3 linked regions of the Yarrowia lipolytica genome follow. The protein of the gene in region 1 interacts with the protein of each later gene in a pairwise test. Links are inferred from orthologs where the notes say so. Each region holds a gene or a part of one and is shown on either strand. Other genes may lie near its edges.

Evidence for each region.
Region 2: the proteins of YALI1_F10115g (region 1) and YALI1_D09790g interact in a two-hybrid assay, tested with the Saccharomyces cerevisiae proteins (2 studies listed by BioGRID). The link is inferred for Yarrowia lipolytica from reciprocal best matches to the Saccharomyces cerevisiae genes SMT3 and TDP1.
Region 3: the proteins of YALI1_F10115g (region 1) and YALI1_E31075g interact in binary tests that used the Saccharomyces cerevisiae proteins (3 or more experiments, as listed by UniProt). The link is inferred for Yarrowia lipolytica from reciprocal best matches to the Saccharomyces cerevisiae genes SMT3 and UFD1.

The regions. Positions count from the first base shown.
Region 1 is NC_090775.1:1,008,838-1,014,233, reverse strand, and holds YALI1_F10115g (uncharacterized protein), read left to right. Parts: upstream 1-2,669; coding exon 2,670-2,942; downstream 2,943-5,396. Other genes in the region: YALI1_F10122g (uncharacterized protein), read right to left, coding at 539-2,008; YALI1_F10110g (uncharacterized protein), read left to right, coding at 3,140-4,240; YALI1_F09996g (uncharacterized protein), read right to left, coding at 4,458-5,396. UniProt on the Saccharomyces cerevisiae protein: Not known; suppressor of MIF2 mutations.
Region 2 is NC_090773.1:974,725-981,086, forward strand, and holds YALI1_D09790g (uncharacterized protein), read left to right. Parts: upstream 1-4,304; coding exon 4,305-5,720; downstream 5,721-6,362. Other genes in the region: YALI1_D09766g (uncharacterized protein), read left to right, coding at 1,959-3,077; YALI1_D09785g (uncharacterized protein), read right to left, coding at 3,573-3,871, 3,948-4,038. UniProt on the Saccharomyces cerevisiae protein: DNA repair enzyme that can remove a variety of covalent adducts from DNA through hydrolysis of a 3'-phosphodiester bond, giving rise to DNA with a free 3' phosphate.
Region 3 is NC_090774.1:3,104,939-3,110,935, forward strand, and holds YALI1_E31075g (uncharacterized protein), read left to right. Parts: upstream 1-2,624; coding exon 2,625-3,749; downstream 3,750-5,997. Other genes in the region: YALI1_E31050g (uncharacterized protein), read left to right, coding at 133-1,713; YALI1_E31131g (uncharacterized protein), read right to left, coding at 4,192-5,997. UniProt on the Saccharomyces cerevisiae protein: Functions at a post-ubiquitation step in the ubiquitin fusion degradation (UFD) pathway. Has a role in the endoplasmic reticulum-associated degradation (ERAD) pathway.

The sequences.
Region 1 (5,396 bases):
TGGGAGGCGGCGGGCTAGGTGAGGGGTACCGTGAGTACGAGTGTACTGAACGAGAGATACAAGTCGTACAATACGGGCCTCCTTGCAAGTACATACCTTGGGGTTGATTTGGAAGGCGGAAATTGTCTTGCCTTGTGGATTTGCTCGTGGTTGTGATTGCTCCGCCCGATTCGGAATCCGCACAATTGCTACTGTACAGTATGTACCAGTACCAGGTACCAGTACCAGTACCAGTACATAAGTACCAGTATAAGTGCAAGTAATGGTCGCTTCTATGTTCTGTTGTTCAATCATGGTAATAAATAACTATATACACGGATATGCTCTGGCTCACCTTGACTGTACGAGTACTGCAAATAAATGACAAGGCTGGAGCTTCACCCGCCAACCCTAAGTTGCTTCCAAGATGAGAGACTCTTTAGAGTTGTGTGGGGTAGTCAGGTGCGCAAGGTGGGTGAGTGGGTGGGTAAACAGTCCAACAATGGGACAGTAGACATGGACGCATGGGAACCCAGCATCAACCCCCACTGCTCGTAGACTAGAAGGCGGACACGTCACGTGACCGGCAGCGCACCGCCGGCGGCAGCGAGTCGAGACGTGTCGCCTTGGAGCCGTATTCCTCGTGATCGCCGCAGTCTGTACTTGTCGATTCGTCTCCACTGCCGTGCAAGTCCACCCGCTTGTCTTCTCTCAGCTGCAACCATCGAACTAGAGAAACCCAGCCGATCAGAGCTATACTAACGGCCAGCATGGCCCACATACCCAGACGGAACTCGGGCGCGGTGTCGGCTCCATAGAAAACCACCATCCACCACGCGTTGGTGGCGTTGGAGATCATGTTCATAGAGGCGAGCACCACCGATCTCTCTTCCTTGTCGTTGGCTGTCACCACGTTGGCCCAGGCGAAAAACGCTGCCTGTACCATGTAGACACATCCACACAGATAGTAGCCTGCAAAGACGGTCGGGGTACGGTTCACCAGCACCAGAACCGTGCTAACGATCCCCACTAGGCCGGCAGCTACCCCCACGTGCCAGTGTTTGCCTGTTTGATCCACGTACGAGGCAGCCACTACAGTAGCCACCACTCCGACTCCAGAAACGCCCATCGGGTACCTGTTACTCTCAATAACACTCCACCCGGAAGCCTTGAGATACTGTCCAAACAGGTTGTTGGCTGGAGGAGACTCCACCTCGCCCGCAATGCCCCATAGCAGCCCAAACATGTAAAAGTGCCATCGTCCAAGCACCCGTTTGACAACTGTCCAGTCTAGTTTTGTGTCTGGGCGTGGCGGGAGTCGCATGACAGACATCTGGCGCTCCTTCTCGTCGAAATAAAAGGCCTGTGTCGTCGCTGGTGTATCTGGAAAGAAAATAAAGCCATAGAGAGCCACGGGAAACGTGATGATGGCGTCGATAATGAACAGCCATCTCCAGCCGGCTAGTCCTCCTTTCCCACTGAGTCCTTTGAACACTGCACTTTGCAGAAAACCAGAGAAGAGTGTGCCAATGAGCCCTGATGATGTGAAGATGGCGGTTCGCTTCGCCAACTCCTTACCACTGTACCACGATCCCAGGATGAAATGGGTGCCCACAAACGTAGACGCTTCAAAAAAGCCCTGGAAGAAACGAATGGCATAGATCTGCTTGTATGTGGTCACAGCATAGGTGCCCAGAGTCAATAGGCCCCAGGCCATGGTGCAGAAGGGAAAGTAGTACCGGGGCTTGAACACCTGAAGAGCCAGGTTGTTGGGGATCATACCCACCGTGTATCCCACAGTGAAGAGCGTGTTGGCGATGTTGAGCTCTCGGCCGTACATTTGGAGATCCTCTCGCATGCCCGAAACAAAGGCATTGGACAAATTGGCTCGATCCAGATAGTTGGTAAAGTACATGAGACAGCAGAAGGAGAGCACAAACCAGTCAATCTTGCGCAACAGGTGCTCCTCCTCGGCCGTGCTCTTGTACTCTCCCCAGATAAACACTCTGATTTTTCTCAGCCAGTTCATGGGCCGTGATTGAGTGTGTCGAATGTCTTTGGGGTTCGAAATTGGCGGGTTTTTTTCGTGAATAATGCGGTTCTTCCCGTCCCTGTGGCTGGTCCTGTCTGTCGTCCCATGCTCGTCAGAAAAACCCTTCAGAGGTGAGCTTAGCGGAGGTTTATTTGCTTATTAAGCATGGCTGTAGATGGATGCAACGGTGAGTAACCAAGGTCCTCTCTATGTCCTACAATAGATTTCCAATGATCGGGCCTCCTTTTTTCGTCGATTTCAGCTGCAAATATTATTCTTCATCTCATTTCCTTTTATACACCGGTTTGCTCAAATCTAGTTGCCCCTTTCGGAACCCCTAGCCCTGAAGTCGCGGCTTTCACAATCATAGTTTGTGCAATCCACGAAATCCATCACACAACTACACACAAACATCAAAAGTGAGTATGGTGGCAAAGATGAAGTAACAGAGGCGCTGACAAGGTGCAGGAGAAATGAGTACAAGCGGGCGTACGTGTGTTTATATACACTGAGCTTGTATGCTCCACTTTGAGTGCTTCAGCCTTGCAGCCACGCTCAAGTTGCACTTGCACAACACGAGACGGTGAACGTGACGTACCGAACGTGACACAAACCAGAGAGAAACGCACCTCTGTCCACTCGTAAACTAACGCAGCAGATGTCTGAGGAAACACAGCCCAAGGTAGACAGCTCCGAGCACGTCAACATCAAGGTCACCGACTCGTCGTCGGAGATTTTCTTCAAGATCAAGAAGTCCACACAGCTCAAGAAACTGATCGACGCCTTCTGCCAGCGACAGGGCAAGCAGAAGTCTTCCCTGCGTTTCCTCTACGACGGCCAGCGAGTCACCGACACTGACACCCCCGAGACTCTGCAGATTGAGGACGGCGACACCATCGAGGCTCACCAGGAGCAGCTTGGTGGCTGCTAAGCGGGATATTAACTGGTAGATTGTTAGTAAAGTGTATGATAGCTGTTTAATATTGAGCGCGTAGAAATTGTCGCAATATATCTCGTTCCATCTCCAAAATCTGCTTTACGTAATCAGATTACTAGTACATAATTGCTGTATTAAAGAGACGCGTACATACGAATACAGGACTCGTATGTAAACTTGAACTCAACACCATGATGAAAACGTGGGCATTGAGGGCTAGAGCTGTTCGAGCCACATGGAGTGGCCTGTCGAGGACGTTCGGCACTTCAGCACCATGTGATGAGGCGCTCAAAATCGCATATTTTGGAAGTGACAAATTCAGCATCAAATCATTACAGGCGGTTCTCCAACTACAAAAGGAGGACCCTAGTGCCATTGAGAGCGTCACAGTCGTTACGAAACCGCCCAAACGAGCTGGACGAGGTCTCAAGGAGCTCAAAGATGTGCCTATTACCGACTTCGCGGTAGAGAACGGCCTTACGGTGCTTCGGGCAGACAACAAGACGGAGATCAATGCTCTGCCCAATGACTTCAGTCTCGTAGTTGCTGTCAGCTATGGAGGTTTGATTCCCCAACAGTTTCTGGCAAACACAAAGTACGGCGGTCTCAATGTCCATCCTTCCTTTCTACCCCAATACCATGGACCTGCTCCTATTCACCATGCTCTGTTAAATGGAGACAAGACGACCGGAGTGACAGTCCAGACACTGCATCCGACAAAATTCGACCGAGGACGAGTCGTGGCTATTTCAGAGAAAGTCCCCATCACTCGAGATAGCACCTTTGAGTCTCTGCGAGATACCCTGGCAGACACCGGAGCGGAACTGCTTTATTCAACAATCAAAGATCGAAACTTCACAGACTCGAGCTATGAGGTCAAATCAGGCTGTCCAGACGTCTATGCTGGACACGTAACGTCAAAAATGCGTGCCATTGATTGGTCTGTGGATACAGCCGACAAGTTGGAGCGGTATTGCAACACGCTGGGGTCGTTGTACACTCATAAGTTATTTGAGGAGCGCAAACAAGTCAAGGCAGAGTTTCAGGAGAAGCTGCTGAGAGTTCTACTAAGTGAGTTGAAGAAGGTGGATGGCATTGAAGCCTTTGGGGCCCCTGGAACACATAAACTTGTCGATCGAACGGTGCTCATCAATACTGTAGATGGAGTCGTGTCTTGTCCCACTTTACAGGTGGAGTTCCAGGCGGTGGAGGATGCTGACAAGTTTGAAAAAAGATGTGTTGGTTCGAAGAAGAAGAGAGCCAAGAGTGAGGAATTTCAAAATGGAGAGTGAATCGCCAACTAGCACGAGACATTGTATATAGTATTAAAAATAAAATAAAAAAATAACGACCTGTTGGAACTATATTCATATGTTAACTCAGTTGCGCCCACTTACTGTACATTCCAGCTACACTACAAGTTCATATAACATAATTAACACAATATTCATAACAAAATCCTTCCCACACACTCCTCTCTCCTCCCTGTTACTCCCTCTCTCTCTCCTCCTAAACCAACAGCGTCTGATGCTTGATGTTGAACTCCTGGACAGCCACGGCAATCTTGTGGTAGAAGAACTTTCTGTTGGACGGATCCGGAATGGGAATAAAAGGACCAGGCACATCCTCCAGCAGCTTGAGAGCAAGGCCAGTCTTCTCCATTGTGATCGTGTCAATCTTCTCCAGCTTCACGGTCCAGTAGCTCTCCATGTTGACGGTGTGGAACATGATGATTCGGTTAAAGGTCAGAATGACGGCCTTCTCAGTGCCCGCAATCTCCACATGAGCCAGATACTTGTCATTGAAGAAAGTGCCGCCGTCGATCAGCTTGAGCCAGGTCTGGCCCACAGCCTCGGTCTGACTGTAAGGTCGAACAATGCCGTCATAAGACAGATATCGGGTGGCTCGAATTCGCGAAATGGCGTTGGGATCAAACACGGTGGTGGTGTTCTTGATTCCCTCACTGATGTTGTTGGCAAAATCAAACATTCCAATGGCCGTCTTTGTGGGCAAGCCAACCAGACCTTTTCCAACACCCTTGAAGAAGCCTGCGGCTCCTTCGGTGGCAGCGCCATGCATGGGCGCCTCTGCAATGCCTGCAATACCAGAAGCAAAGGCGTCAAAGAAGGACGAAGCTCCCGTGGTGAGGCCAAACAGAGCATGCTTGGGCCGGTTTCGGGTCTTGTTGACCCGTCGGCGGTTTTGGAACGACTTATCCATCGTCACCACAGACAGACCCTTGGAAATGGAGCCTGTAACCTTGGAGATAGAGTCGGAAACACCGTAGACAGACTTCTTGACGAAAGACAGAGAGCCCTTGGCCAATCCAATACCCAGCTCAGAGGGACGGTCATTCATGATAAAGCCCTGGTACGGCTCGTAGAAGATGTCCATGATACCAGAGGAGATGTTGGTGAAAAGACCGACGGGGTTTCCGAGGAAATCGGC
Region 2 (6,362 bases), on another chromosome or scaffold:
CCAAAAATTCACTTTGCAATTGAAATGAAGTGGTCTCCTCCAGGAAATCCACCCCCCACCCACCCTGTTTGCACCGAGCTACTGACTCGCAGAGTTAGACTCAGTGCTCATGCTCAGCTCATCTGGCGTGCCTCCTGGCGAACCCCATTCAGCAAGACATATACCGGTTTGGGACTTGTAGGGAACTACGCTATCAAAGTTCCACCGTCTTCTATTGGCTTCTATGAGGGGAGCGTGCAGTGGCGCCGGCGGGGAAAAAAACGGTGAGAATTTTTCACTCAACAGAAGACGAAGAGCCTACAGCAACCTGAACCGCGGGAAACCAGTTTGGCAATGGATGCCATCACTCTCTGGTTCTCGTAATAATAGTGCATCTCGCCTGCATTGACGATGACCCCCCAAACACTCTCGGGAAGAGAAAAAGGAGGGACCCCAAGTGATAGTCGCCATGTCAAACAAAAAGCCCAAACGTAATGTTTAGTATAATTACGCAAATATGGGCGGGTTTTTCACAGGAGCAATTGAAAGACTTTTAATCGAAGTATGGCTTCCAAACAGGGCCCATTGTATTTAAAACCGCCGGTCGACAATGCTACACCGCCACCGAAAATGGCGTGATTGCTGGCAAAAAAACATAACATCATCACAAACATGTGTCAATATTTTCCGTATTCATAACGCTCCGCTCTTGGCCCGCCGGTAGTGCGTCGTTGTGTGGGCCTTGTGTGGCTTCGTACTCCAACAGCAACCAACGCGTTTCAAAGTTCAAGGTGCTGATTCGCGGCCAATGACAAAAAAAAGGGACTACTTCCCAAACAAGCAGTGACCTTCATCAGAGCTGCACTATACCCGTGTCGATCACCGCAACCCTACTGCGTGGTGTAAAGCAAAAGCACATGGTGAGGGGAGGGAGGCTCAGACGCGTATCGCTGTCCCAAAGGGGAAATCATATTGTCCAATGTCGACGCACATAGACGGTTTGGCGTTTCCCACCTCACGGCTGTGTCTTTCGGCTAACAACGCCGTGTCTTCTATTTTTAGGTCTCCTACAAGTACAGTAGCTACGATACTGTACGCTATCATGCCGTAGCATCTCCACTCAGCGTAGCACAATGAATGTTGCTGCGATTAGATTTTATTATACCCTGTTTTTTTTTTAGCGAGGGTGAAAAAATTATTCACATGGTCGCATGCAGGTGTGACCTGTCGGACAACGAATGAAATTCTTTTTTTTATTTTTTTTATATATTTTGCAGACGCACGTCGAAAATACGTGACTCAAGGGATCGAATCACAGGGGCTCGATCGAAGAAATGCGATCGAAGGAGTGCTGTCTCGTTGTTGCGCCAAGAGTCCACCAAAGTGAGATAAGCGACAAGCTCTTTTGGCTTTTTTTTAGCCGTGCCATGCTCAACAGAAGGGGCTATCAGTGACTACTACTGTACATACAGGTGGTTGAGTCTGGTAGTTAGTCTACTGTCTACTGTACTACTTGTACTACAGTAGTAGCATGCTAAGACCAGGGTACAGGAGCCATATTGGTCTTCTGGATCGAGGTGTTCGTTCTGGTGCTTCGAAGTGGTCTTAGCTTGGTGGTGACTCTGCGCTGCAGAAGTCCGTCAAGTAAAAGCCAAGTATCGTGTGTGTACTTACACAGGTAGTAGATATGGGACCTAAGTCAACCAACCAACCAAGTAATAATCCACAATTTACTTGACCAATTACTTGACTCAGAGTGGCGACTTAGAGTTCGACTAAAAAAAATACATGATGTCTACAAAACCATTTTCTGTGCAAGTTTTGGGAGTAAAGACATTATTAACGTTGATAATCGACCTCCAAATATCTATATTTTTTTCTTCCCTTCCCACAAAACCCATCCCATCCTTGTCTTATCTGCATTACATAATACACCCGCTAAACACAACATCACGCATCCGTCCCAAGCTTGATTTCTTATGTCTACAACATCTCTGCTTCGAAAACTGCAGAAAGAATACCCGCTGGCGTCTCGAGAAGTGCTACTGGATATTCTCGTGTCTTGTAATGGAGATGTCGATTCTGCGAAAGAGCTTTTGGGACAGTCACAGACACCTACCAAAGATACCACAAGTACTCGTCCTATAGATAGTCCCAAAAGACAGGCTTCCATAGCCATTTTTGGTGTCAAAAAGAGGAAGAAAGAAAGTGAAGCGAATACAACTTGTTCATCGTCTCCAAACACCCTGAAACCCCTCACATTATATACCCCTGAAGATATCGAGGCTGCCTTACCGTGCAGTTTGATCTACAATGTGTTGGAAAAGGCAGAAGCTGAAAATCTACTAGACCAGCTTATGGAGGATCACAATAGCTGGAAAGAAAAAACCAAGTTCTACCTATTTGACAAACTGTGTGAAACCCCCCACAAGTCTGCCTTTTACACTAAAGACATGTCCGTGTACTCGCAACACACTTATCGATACAATGGAAAGCCTGTCGACACTTCCAGAAAGTACAGCAAGGCCATGGAGGCGTGTTCAGATCGAATTCAGGAGCTAGTACGCAGTACAAACAAGGAAGGGACCGCAGAGTGGCTTAGTGACGCGTGTATTGCCAACTATTATGCTGACGAGTCTCAATCTGTGGGGTTTCATAGTGATCAATTGACGTATATAGGGCCGCGTCCTGTCATTGCCGCGTTAACTCTGGGATCCGAGCGCATCTTCAGACTAAAAGGGGCTTGTCCGGATGGGGATAGACGGACCTACAACATTCTGTTACCGCATAATTCTCTCATGATCATGCATGCCGGGTGCCAGGAGGCCTACAAACATAGTATCATTCCCGTTCAAGCCAAACAGATTGGATTACATGAGAGGGCAGGCAAGGTGCGTTTCTCTCTCACGTTTCGACACTACAAGAAGGAGTTTACGCCCAACAAGATTCCACAATGCAAGTGCGGAGAGCCGATGATTCTGAAGCCGGTGTTCAAGAAAGCTGCTGGACAGAAAAGCGGGTACTTTTGGACCTGTGGCCAGACATACCAGGGCAAGGGATGTGGAGATTTTGTGTGGTATGACAAACCCATTAGGTGATAGTTATCAGGATTGGTGTTGCGTGTACAACAGGTGTAAGCGGATGAATGGATAGTGTATTCGTCTTCAGCAGTACCAGAAAGTGTAGGCGAGCCGTAATGATATTAACATGATCACGAACTGTACAGACTACAAGTACAAACATACAGTTCATGGTGGTGAAGACGGTCTGTACCGAGGGTGAAGATGCTGTACTTGACTGAACAGCAGGCAGAGAAGGTAGTAAAGCAAAGTTGATACAAAATGACTTGTAAGGCGCTACGACAGGGAAACAGCAATATGTTCAAACTGGACAAGAAATTCATTAGCTGCTATATCAGTAGGTGTTTCTTGGGCACAGGTTTTACAGGTTTAGCATTGGGCGATTGGCGAGAAGCAATAGGTTCTTTGCAGCTGCGTATAATGTCATAGGTCCAATGCGGTTTCTGTAAAATCCGATGCGTTCTCGTCCAATACCCTTGTGCCATGCACTCCGAGAGTCCTAGAGTCTGAAAATTAGAACTTCTTAGGGGGCACTTCATTCTTCTTGGGGAAGAAGAATGTCGCTCCATAAAGACCAGCGTTAGAAACTGCCAGGCACGACAGCAGCAAAGGCCAGGGCTTTCGGAACACAGTGACACTTCGAGTCCCGTTGGCCAACAGGTACAGCATGGACCAGGCCGAAGTGAATCCTGCTCCGTTGGTGATGTCGTCCAGCATCATGTATCCCCCGGCAGCAAAGACCAGTCCGAAACCTGCGCACGACAGTTTGGTGGGCTTGACTGTGTTCTTTGCGTAAGGGAGGGTAGCCAGCACTGGGTTAGCATGATGGCATCCAATTGGGGTTTGGGTGGTTCAATTGTTTGGTTTTTTTTTTTTTTTGGTACTCACATAGACCGGACATAATCCAGGCGGGGTAGGGCGTACGAGCCAGCTCCTGGACGGGGTTAGTATCTTCTTTGGCGACTGGAGGAGCAGACATGGCGTGGTGGGATGGTGTAGCAATACAAAGTTGGGTGCAGATGGGTGCATATCACCATTGTTGGGGAGATTTGTGGGGAGACCATATGTAGTATTTGTGGTAGTGGCTGGTGTGTGAACTTCGGTAAACAGGGAACTAGTCGGTTTATTATCTGATTAAAAACACCTGCGTATCTATATCTCTCTTCCAGCCTCCAATAATCACTTGTGCTCCCCCTCCAACAAGGTTCGCTTAGCTCATCTGCAGGCATCTCGTTTTCCCCCACCATGGACAACGACAGAGTCAAGCGACGGAAGGTGGAGAGTGAGAGCGACAATGGCCGGACACAACTAACAGCCATCACGGCGCTTCCCGACGAGGAAAACACTGGATCTGTGCACCTCAAAGACCTCATTGGATCACCCCATCTCGAGGCCATGTGGCAATTCAACTTCATGATTGATCTGGCATTTGTACTCGATAATATTCACAAGAATGCCATGTCAAACATCAAGTGTCGGTTTGTGATGGGCGACTTTAGTGGCGAGAAGATCGCAGCCTTCAGAGCACAGGCCAAGAGTCTCCCGATAGCCGACAACATTGAAGTAGGAAGAGCCAAGCTGTCGAATCTGTTTGCAACCCATCACACAAAAATGATGGTGCTGTTTTTTAAAGAGGACAAGGGAGAACGATCGGCCCAGGTTGTCATCCATACCGCCAATATGATTCATCATGACTGGGATAACATGACTCAGGGAGTGTGGAAGAGCCAGAAAGTGAAGGAGAAGAGAAAGACGAATACGGAGGGCTCCACAAGCACGTTTGAGACTGATCTCGTTGCATACCTGTCTGAATACCAACTAGATACCACTTCCAAGTTGATTAAGTTTCTGCAACGGTTTGATTGGAGCTCCGAAACAGCTCGAGTGGTGGGATCTGTTCCTGGAACTCATAAGGACAAGAAGTGGGGACTCACACGGGTTGCAGACTTGCTGGACGAGCACAAGGAGGATCACAAGAGTGACTATGAGGGCTCAGAAAGTGACACGATTGTTCTACAGAGTTCTTCTATTGGTTCTCTTGGAGTCACAGACAAGTGGATCACTCCTCAATTGGTAGGAGCTTTGGATGGAAGATCACCAAGAGACCGAGATGGACATGGACTACCAGCTTCTCAAATTGTGTGGCCTACGGTTGAGAATGTACGTCGGTCGTTTGATGGATACGATCTGGGTATGTCTATTCATTTCAAGAACGAATCCGACACCCATAGGAAACAGTATGCGTATATGAAGGAGCGGATGAACGTGTGGAAGGCCGACAACAAGCACAGAACCCGAGCCATGCCTCACATCAAGACGTATACGCGTTTCACACGAGCTGGCAAGCTTCGATGGGTGCTTTTGACCTCGGCTAATATCTCCAAGTACGCCTGGGGGTCAGTTTCTGCAGCTAAAGAGTCCAAGTTTAGCATTCCGTCGTGGGAGCTGGGAGTTTTGCTGTTCCCCCAGGCGGTTGGGAAGGCTGTTTTCGATCTCAAAGACTCAGTTATTCCTTACGACTGGCCCTTGACCAATTACAGTGCCAAAGACGAGCCGTGGACCAAGAATGCCGATCATCTGGAGAAGGACACCAATGGGTTTCCGTGGGTAGTCACTTTGGATGGGAAGAAGAAGCTGATGAGGAGTCATGAAGCATTGTAGAAGATACAGGAGGCCGTTGACCTGATGCCATAAAGCACTCACTAGAGTAGGAGATTGGAGGGCTATTCGAATGAGAGCAATCCAGCTGGAGTCGGGCTCGACACCCATTTCAAGAGTGTATGTGCTGCTATTGACAGTCGCTTACAGTAACTCTTCAAGGAGTCAACCATGTCCGAGTACAATAGACCTGGTTGGTTGATGGACGAACATCGACAGATGGTAATAACAGAAGTGTCCACGCATTGAATCCATAAACGACAGTAGATGGATAGACAATAGACATCCAATATACTAGTCGTTACCATCCAATCTTAGCAACAGAGCATCTGGACATACATCACTATCGTACGATCTTTGTTGACCATTCGCTCTATAGAAGAGAAACCACCTTGAGCTTTGTTCTGGACACTACCTGTTGGTACCTGTAAACGTTTGCATAGTCTCTAGTGTGGGTTACTCCTCGACACTGTTTGATACCTCCTTCAACTATCCATGACCTACTTAGACCGACATCACCATCCAACTCAATGCGGCCATTCCACTCCTACCCACCAGAGCATCCGTATACCTCCACCCTCGGCATCTGTCCCCTCCCACGGGCTCTAGACCCATCCCGGCAGACCCTGTCTCAAGGGCTGCTGA
Region 3 (5,997 bases), on another chromosome or scaffold:
TTTTAACACCGGTTCACCGCTCTTATCATACACGCACACGTGACGCATCCACCTTGCATATCACTTAACTCAGTTGCCGCTAGTAACCTCAACTACCCATTCTACAGCACACCCCAAAGGAAACGACAACCGATGGACTGGCAACCGGGCTATCCTTCCGAGCCCTTTGGGGCGTACATGGAGCCTCTGGACCCCCCCTACCAGGTGCCCGTCATCCCACAGGACATTTTCGATGACTTGGGCGATCTGGATACCACCTCTTCTCACGACACGGAGATGGATCTGGACATGGACATGGGGCCTCCCAGCCACTACATGCGCGATGTTGCGATCCGAGAGAGTGCTGCAGCCGAGGGCGTGGACGAGGACCGGCCAGACTGCTTCTTCAAGTTTCTGGAAGAGGAGTTTCGTCAGGGTACTCTCTCCTCAGAGCTGTACCAGAGATCAGTATACAAAACGGTGGAGTTTCCGGACACTGTTACCCCAGACGTCTTGTGTGAGCATCCGATTCTCGACAAACAGGGACTCGAGTGGGGTACGCTGTTTGAGTCGTCCCGAAGAGGCTCCTTTCTCATCCCCGACGGAGTATGTGAAAGCGTGGCAACCCACAAGGCTCTGGTGCGCAAACTCAGATACCAGCGCTACGCGGCTTACCGTCCGCCACCTAGCGCATCTCCAACGATTCAAGGCTTCGAGCACTCACTCATGGCGTTCCAGCGGTGCTTCACTAACCCCAAACCCCATCTTTTCCATTTCCAGCTGAGAAACCTGATGTATCCCGTTTCAGCCACGCAGGTTTTCTACAATGCCAATCATATGGATGACTTCCAGGTGGATATGCTCAATCCAGAAACGGGCGAACAGACGGTCGCAATATCACCTGAAATGTGTGACCCATCTCTCCAGCAATTGAGAGTGTCCGCCTTAGCAGCTAACAGGAACGTGGTTATGCTGGGAAGCACAAAGGGCGTGTTTGTGGTGAAACCGTTGGCTGAAACGTCGTCGTCAGAAAAGAAATCGTTTCTCTCTTCGGGCATGATATCGTCTGGTAACGAACTACAGGTCAACTACATCTCCTTGTTGTCCTCTTCAGCCCTGATATCAGGCAACGACAACGTTCTTCGGACTCTGGACCTGAACACTCTTAAGGCAAAAGACTCCATTACACTCAACTATGCTGCTAATGCTACGGCCTTTCTCCCAGGCTCGGAAAATGTCTGCGTCATGGCTTGTGACTCGCAGGAGTCGCACGTCTACGACTCGCGATCGGGTAAACTGCAAATGTCATTGCAGGGTCACACGGACTTCGGATTTGCATGTGCCTGGTCTCCCGATGGCAAAACAGTGGCTACAGGCAACCAGGACGGAACTTGCCGTCTGTACGACATCCGAGGAGCGTCCAACCAATGCATCGGCGCCGTTTCGGGAAAGTTGCAGGCAGCTATTCGGTCCGTGGATTTTGATGCTTCCGGAAGATATCTTGCTATTGCCGAGCCGGTCGATTACGTGACTGTTATCGATACGTGGTCGGAATGTACGTCCAGACAGACGATCGAGTTCTTTGGAGGCACCGCCGGCGTCAGATTCACTCAGTCGTGTTCGCTGGGCGAGTACCAGCAGTTGACAATTGGTGTTGCTGATGAGACTGTTGGAGGAGTCATTCAGTACATGCGACCCAGTCAGTTACAGGGTGAGGATTTTGGATTTATCTAGACGATGACGAGAGACAGGGGCCGAAAAGAGTGACGAATAAGAAATGTCGTCGACTATGACGACGACGAAGATGATGTGTACGATAGGATGATGTCTGAAGGAGACCCGTATATATGTTATTTATTGAGTATAATACTAATTGAAGGGGTGGATTACGAGTGAGTCACTGATGGGGATACGAAGGCGTTACAGCGCGACTAAAAATTGATGAATTTGAGCTGTGTTCATCAGTGTCTTCGCAGTTGCTCACGGTTCACATGCTCGCACGCAACAAATCATTGAGGACCTCAACGGGAAATATTGGTGGATAGAGAGTATTAAACGGGAAGCTGGCAAGGCTCAGCTTCGATTAGCCATACTGCACAAATAGTACATACCTCACTTACGTAACCTCTAAACGTCCATTTTTAACTTCTCCAACTTGCAGTTTTTCTTTATATTATTTTGAACTAAGGAAAGACAGCGCTTTTTTTTCATTCTAGATGAGGGTGAGATTATTTTTTTCCTAATTTTTTTTTTAATTCTAATGATTCATTTTTCATGATTCATTTTATTCTAGGGAAAATGCCCCACGGAAATAAGGTTTAATTTAAGCTTGTTTGGGAGTTTGGCCGAGTGGTCTAAGGCGCTAGCTTCAGGTTCTAGTGTCGAAAGAGGCGTGAGTTCGAACCTCCCAGCTCTCTTTTTTTTGCCTAACGGAGTGGTGCCGGGAGTGTAACTTGATGTAACTTGATTTTTCGCCACATACACAGATTAATTGGTTCTCTGATTTTGAGTCTTCAGCCCGTTATTTTGCCACTTTACCCACTTTCTTATTTTACTTGTGGTATGCACACCTCTACGTCATATGCAGCCCCAAACTCTGGATCATAGCTCTCACCATCGGACCCTTCTTTTTGATAACACACATCATGTTTGGAGGAACTGCACAATGGGGCGCCACGCCTTTCCGAAACCGAACCCAGAAGTTTCAGGACTACTACCGATGTTACCCCATCGCCATGATGCCCGGTAAGGACCGAGAGTCTGCCAACTACGGTGGCAAGATCTTTTTGCCTCCCTCGGCACTTTCCAAGCTCAGTATGCTGCACATTTCGTACCCGATGTTGTTCCAGCTCAAAAGCGAGGAGAACGACAATGTGACGTACGGTGGCGTTTTGGAGTTCATTGCCGAGGAGGGCCGCGTCTACTTGCCCCAATGGATCATTGAGACTCTGGATGTGGGTCCTGGATCTCTGCTGGAAATTTCGTCTTGTGATTTGCCACTGGGTAAGTTTGTCAAGTTTGAACCCCAGAGCGTTGATTTTCTGGACATTTCCGACCCCCGAGCAGTGCTGGAGAGATCATTCCAGAACTTCTCGACCCTCACAGTCGGAGACGTGTTCAAGTTCAGCTACAACGACAAGACATATGGAATGAAGGTGCTGGAGGTCAAGCCCGACCTGGAGGACAAGCACTCGGTGTGCTGTGTGGAGACGGACATTGAGGTTGACTTTGCGCCTCCGGTGGGCTACGTGGATCCCTCCACCCAGAGTGACTCCAATTACGGAAGAGCCATCAAGACACCTGGTACCAGTGGATCTTCTACTCCTGCACCAATGGCAGCCGCGGGAACCATGGCCCAGTCTATTGGTTATTCGAAGCTCGCCCAACAGACCATTAAGTCTGCTTCTAAAAACACCTTTTCCGGTGGCGGCCAGAAGCTGTCTGGAAAAGCCGTCAAGCCTGAAGAAGAGGCCTCCCTCGACGAGCACTTCAAGGAGCTCGTGGGTCTGGGATCAACAGACACAGACGCGAACCCCCAGCCTTTACGTCTCCCTTTTGGGCAGCTATTCTTTGGTTTCCCCCTAGTGCCTGTCAAGCCTTCTGAAGACGAAGAGACACAGACCGAGGAGCAGCAGCAACAGCCCCACTTTTCGGGCACAGGCCAGAGTCTGCGAGAAAGTCGAAAACGCAAGGAGCGCAACTCGTCGGCTGGAGCTGCGGGAGGAACCCCCAAGAAGCCCACCAGTCCCGAAATGGTGGTCATTGATTAACCATGGCCAAGACGGCTGTGGATTAGAGGCAGACTTATATATCTGTATTTATATGTGTTGGGCAACCAACCCAAGTTATTATATTGAATGAGTAAAATAGGAGAAGTAAATGGTAATACTCATACTTGTACATGTAGATTGTAAATAATATATACTTGATTTAAAAAATGTAAATATATAAACTACGAAACTGAAACGCCTTGAAGGCTGAGTGTATCGTACATACGTAATACTGTACAATAAATACGATGTACTGGGGGTACTACAGTAAGTATGCGTATGTATCGCTTCAAATTGTGGACGAGAAGCACTACAGTAGATTTTTTTCACTATCATCTTGTCACTTGGGTCATCTTCGTGGGCTTGCTCTCCACAACCCAGGCATGCTACTTGTACAATGGCATCTACATGCTCATATAGTCAAAACAAATAAATAATTATGCTAATGCTTCTTGTTAATCTTGCGTCCCATTCGCCGTCTCAATGTCAAGTACTTACTCTCGGGCTCCGGACTGTCATTGACAGCTCCAACCACAGACCGAATAGACTGCCGTCGTGTAAGAGGAGGCATGGAGGCATTACTGGAGGTCTTGCGAGCAACCGGCTGCGATAAGTGCGACTTGTTTGACTTTTGAGACTGTCTAGAAGTCGTTCGGTCAACTGCAGGCATGCCTGGAACCATGTTGTACTGGTGCTCGCCTCCTCCATAGATCTGTCCATTGTGTTCCACGACAGAAAAGACCCGCTTTCGAAGGCCTCTTGGGATATGATCTCGATCCAGAATGTCTGGAGTATGATCAGCTGCCGTTCGTAGCTCATGGGGTGTCTCGTCAGGTTCTTCATCGTCGTTGTCAGCCTTGAGAGGATCGTGGGGAGCCAGAACCTCGTCGTAAGCACGAGCTGCCGAAGCAGCCCATTCAGCGTAAATGGGACGCGAAAGAAAGCCGTACTTGAATTTGTTGACACCCACAAGCAGCGCTGTGAGATCAGCCAACTCTTCCACGTACTCAATGACCTCCTCCACGGCCGAAGAAGTCGCACTCCACGACATGAACTTTTGCTGCAACACGACGGCTCGATGTTGGAGGTAGTCGTGTGGCTGCTGCTGCTGCTGCTGCTGTGTTCGGGCTCGAGGCACAATCTCAATCTCCTGAGACGAGTCATCCGAGTCTGAAGTGTCATCAGAACTGTGGTGCAGAGCATGGGGTGTGTCTGTATCATTGACCACCAAATCAGGAACACAAGCCTTCTCTCGAGTGGTGTCTCCTTCCGAACATCGTCTAGGAGACCCAGTATGAACATTGGGAAGACTGGCTCGAGAAGATAACTCAGGGTGCGAAGGATTGCCTAGAGGAGTGGCCAAGGGGGTTTCTCGAGGGGTTTCTCGGGGGGTCTCTCGAGGTGTGTCACGAGGTGTACCTACCGCTGGAGTTCCAATATTGGGAACGCTATGATGATGCTTGTTCTGGCTCAGTCGTGTGATCATGACCTCTCGAACTCGGTTCACAAACCGTCGATGCGCCAAACGAGCACTGGGCATATACTGAGGCAGGGGTGTCTTATTCAGAAGAGCTGCTTCAACTGCACGTAGAGTCGTGGTGATTGCAGCGGCAGTCTGACGTCGGTAGGCCAGAACCTCAGGTCCATACTCGTCCAGAACCACAGATCCATACTGTTGACGTAAGAAGACAATGTTCTCCAGTCGGTCGATAATCTGTCGAGTCACGAAAATGATCTCGCCAAATATCTTGGAAATCTCCTCAAAAGAGCCCTTAAGACGAGGCTCCTGTTTGGTGAAAGTTCTGAAGGTCGCTGCAGCTGTAAGTGAACCTCTGGCGACCTTAGCGCACTTTTTGAACTCCTTCTGAGCAGTGGCAGGGTCGTCAAAGCCGTAAGCAATGATTCTCTCCATTCGAGAACACTCTCTGATCGCCTGGACGGTCACCACCACGAGCTCTTCTCGCGCCTTAACTGGGAATAAGAATAATTGTCCTAATAGAGCCGCTCCTCCTCCGATCATCATAGCCAGAGTTCGTTTGGCAAAGTTGGTGACAATTCCACCTGTAGTCGTAGGGTATAGAGTGGCCAGAAGGACCACATTAGCAGACACAACCGTAATCATGCCTCCCTTGAAGTATTTGGTGGCCAACATGAACCATAGGGCAGGGATAAAGATGACAGCCATGACCACTCCCATAACTGAGTGAATGTGACCTCGTCCAGCAGTATGGGCCAGAACAGCCCAAGC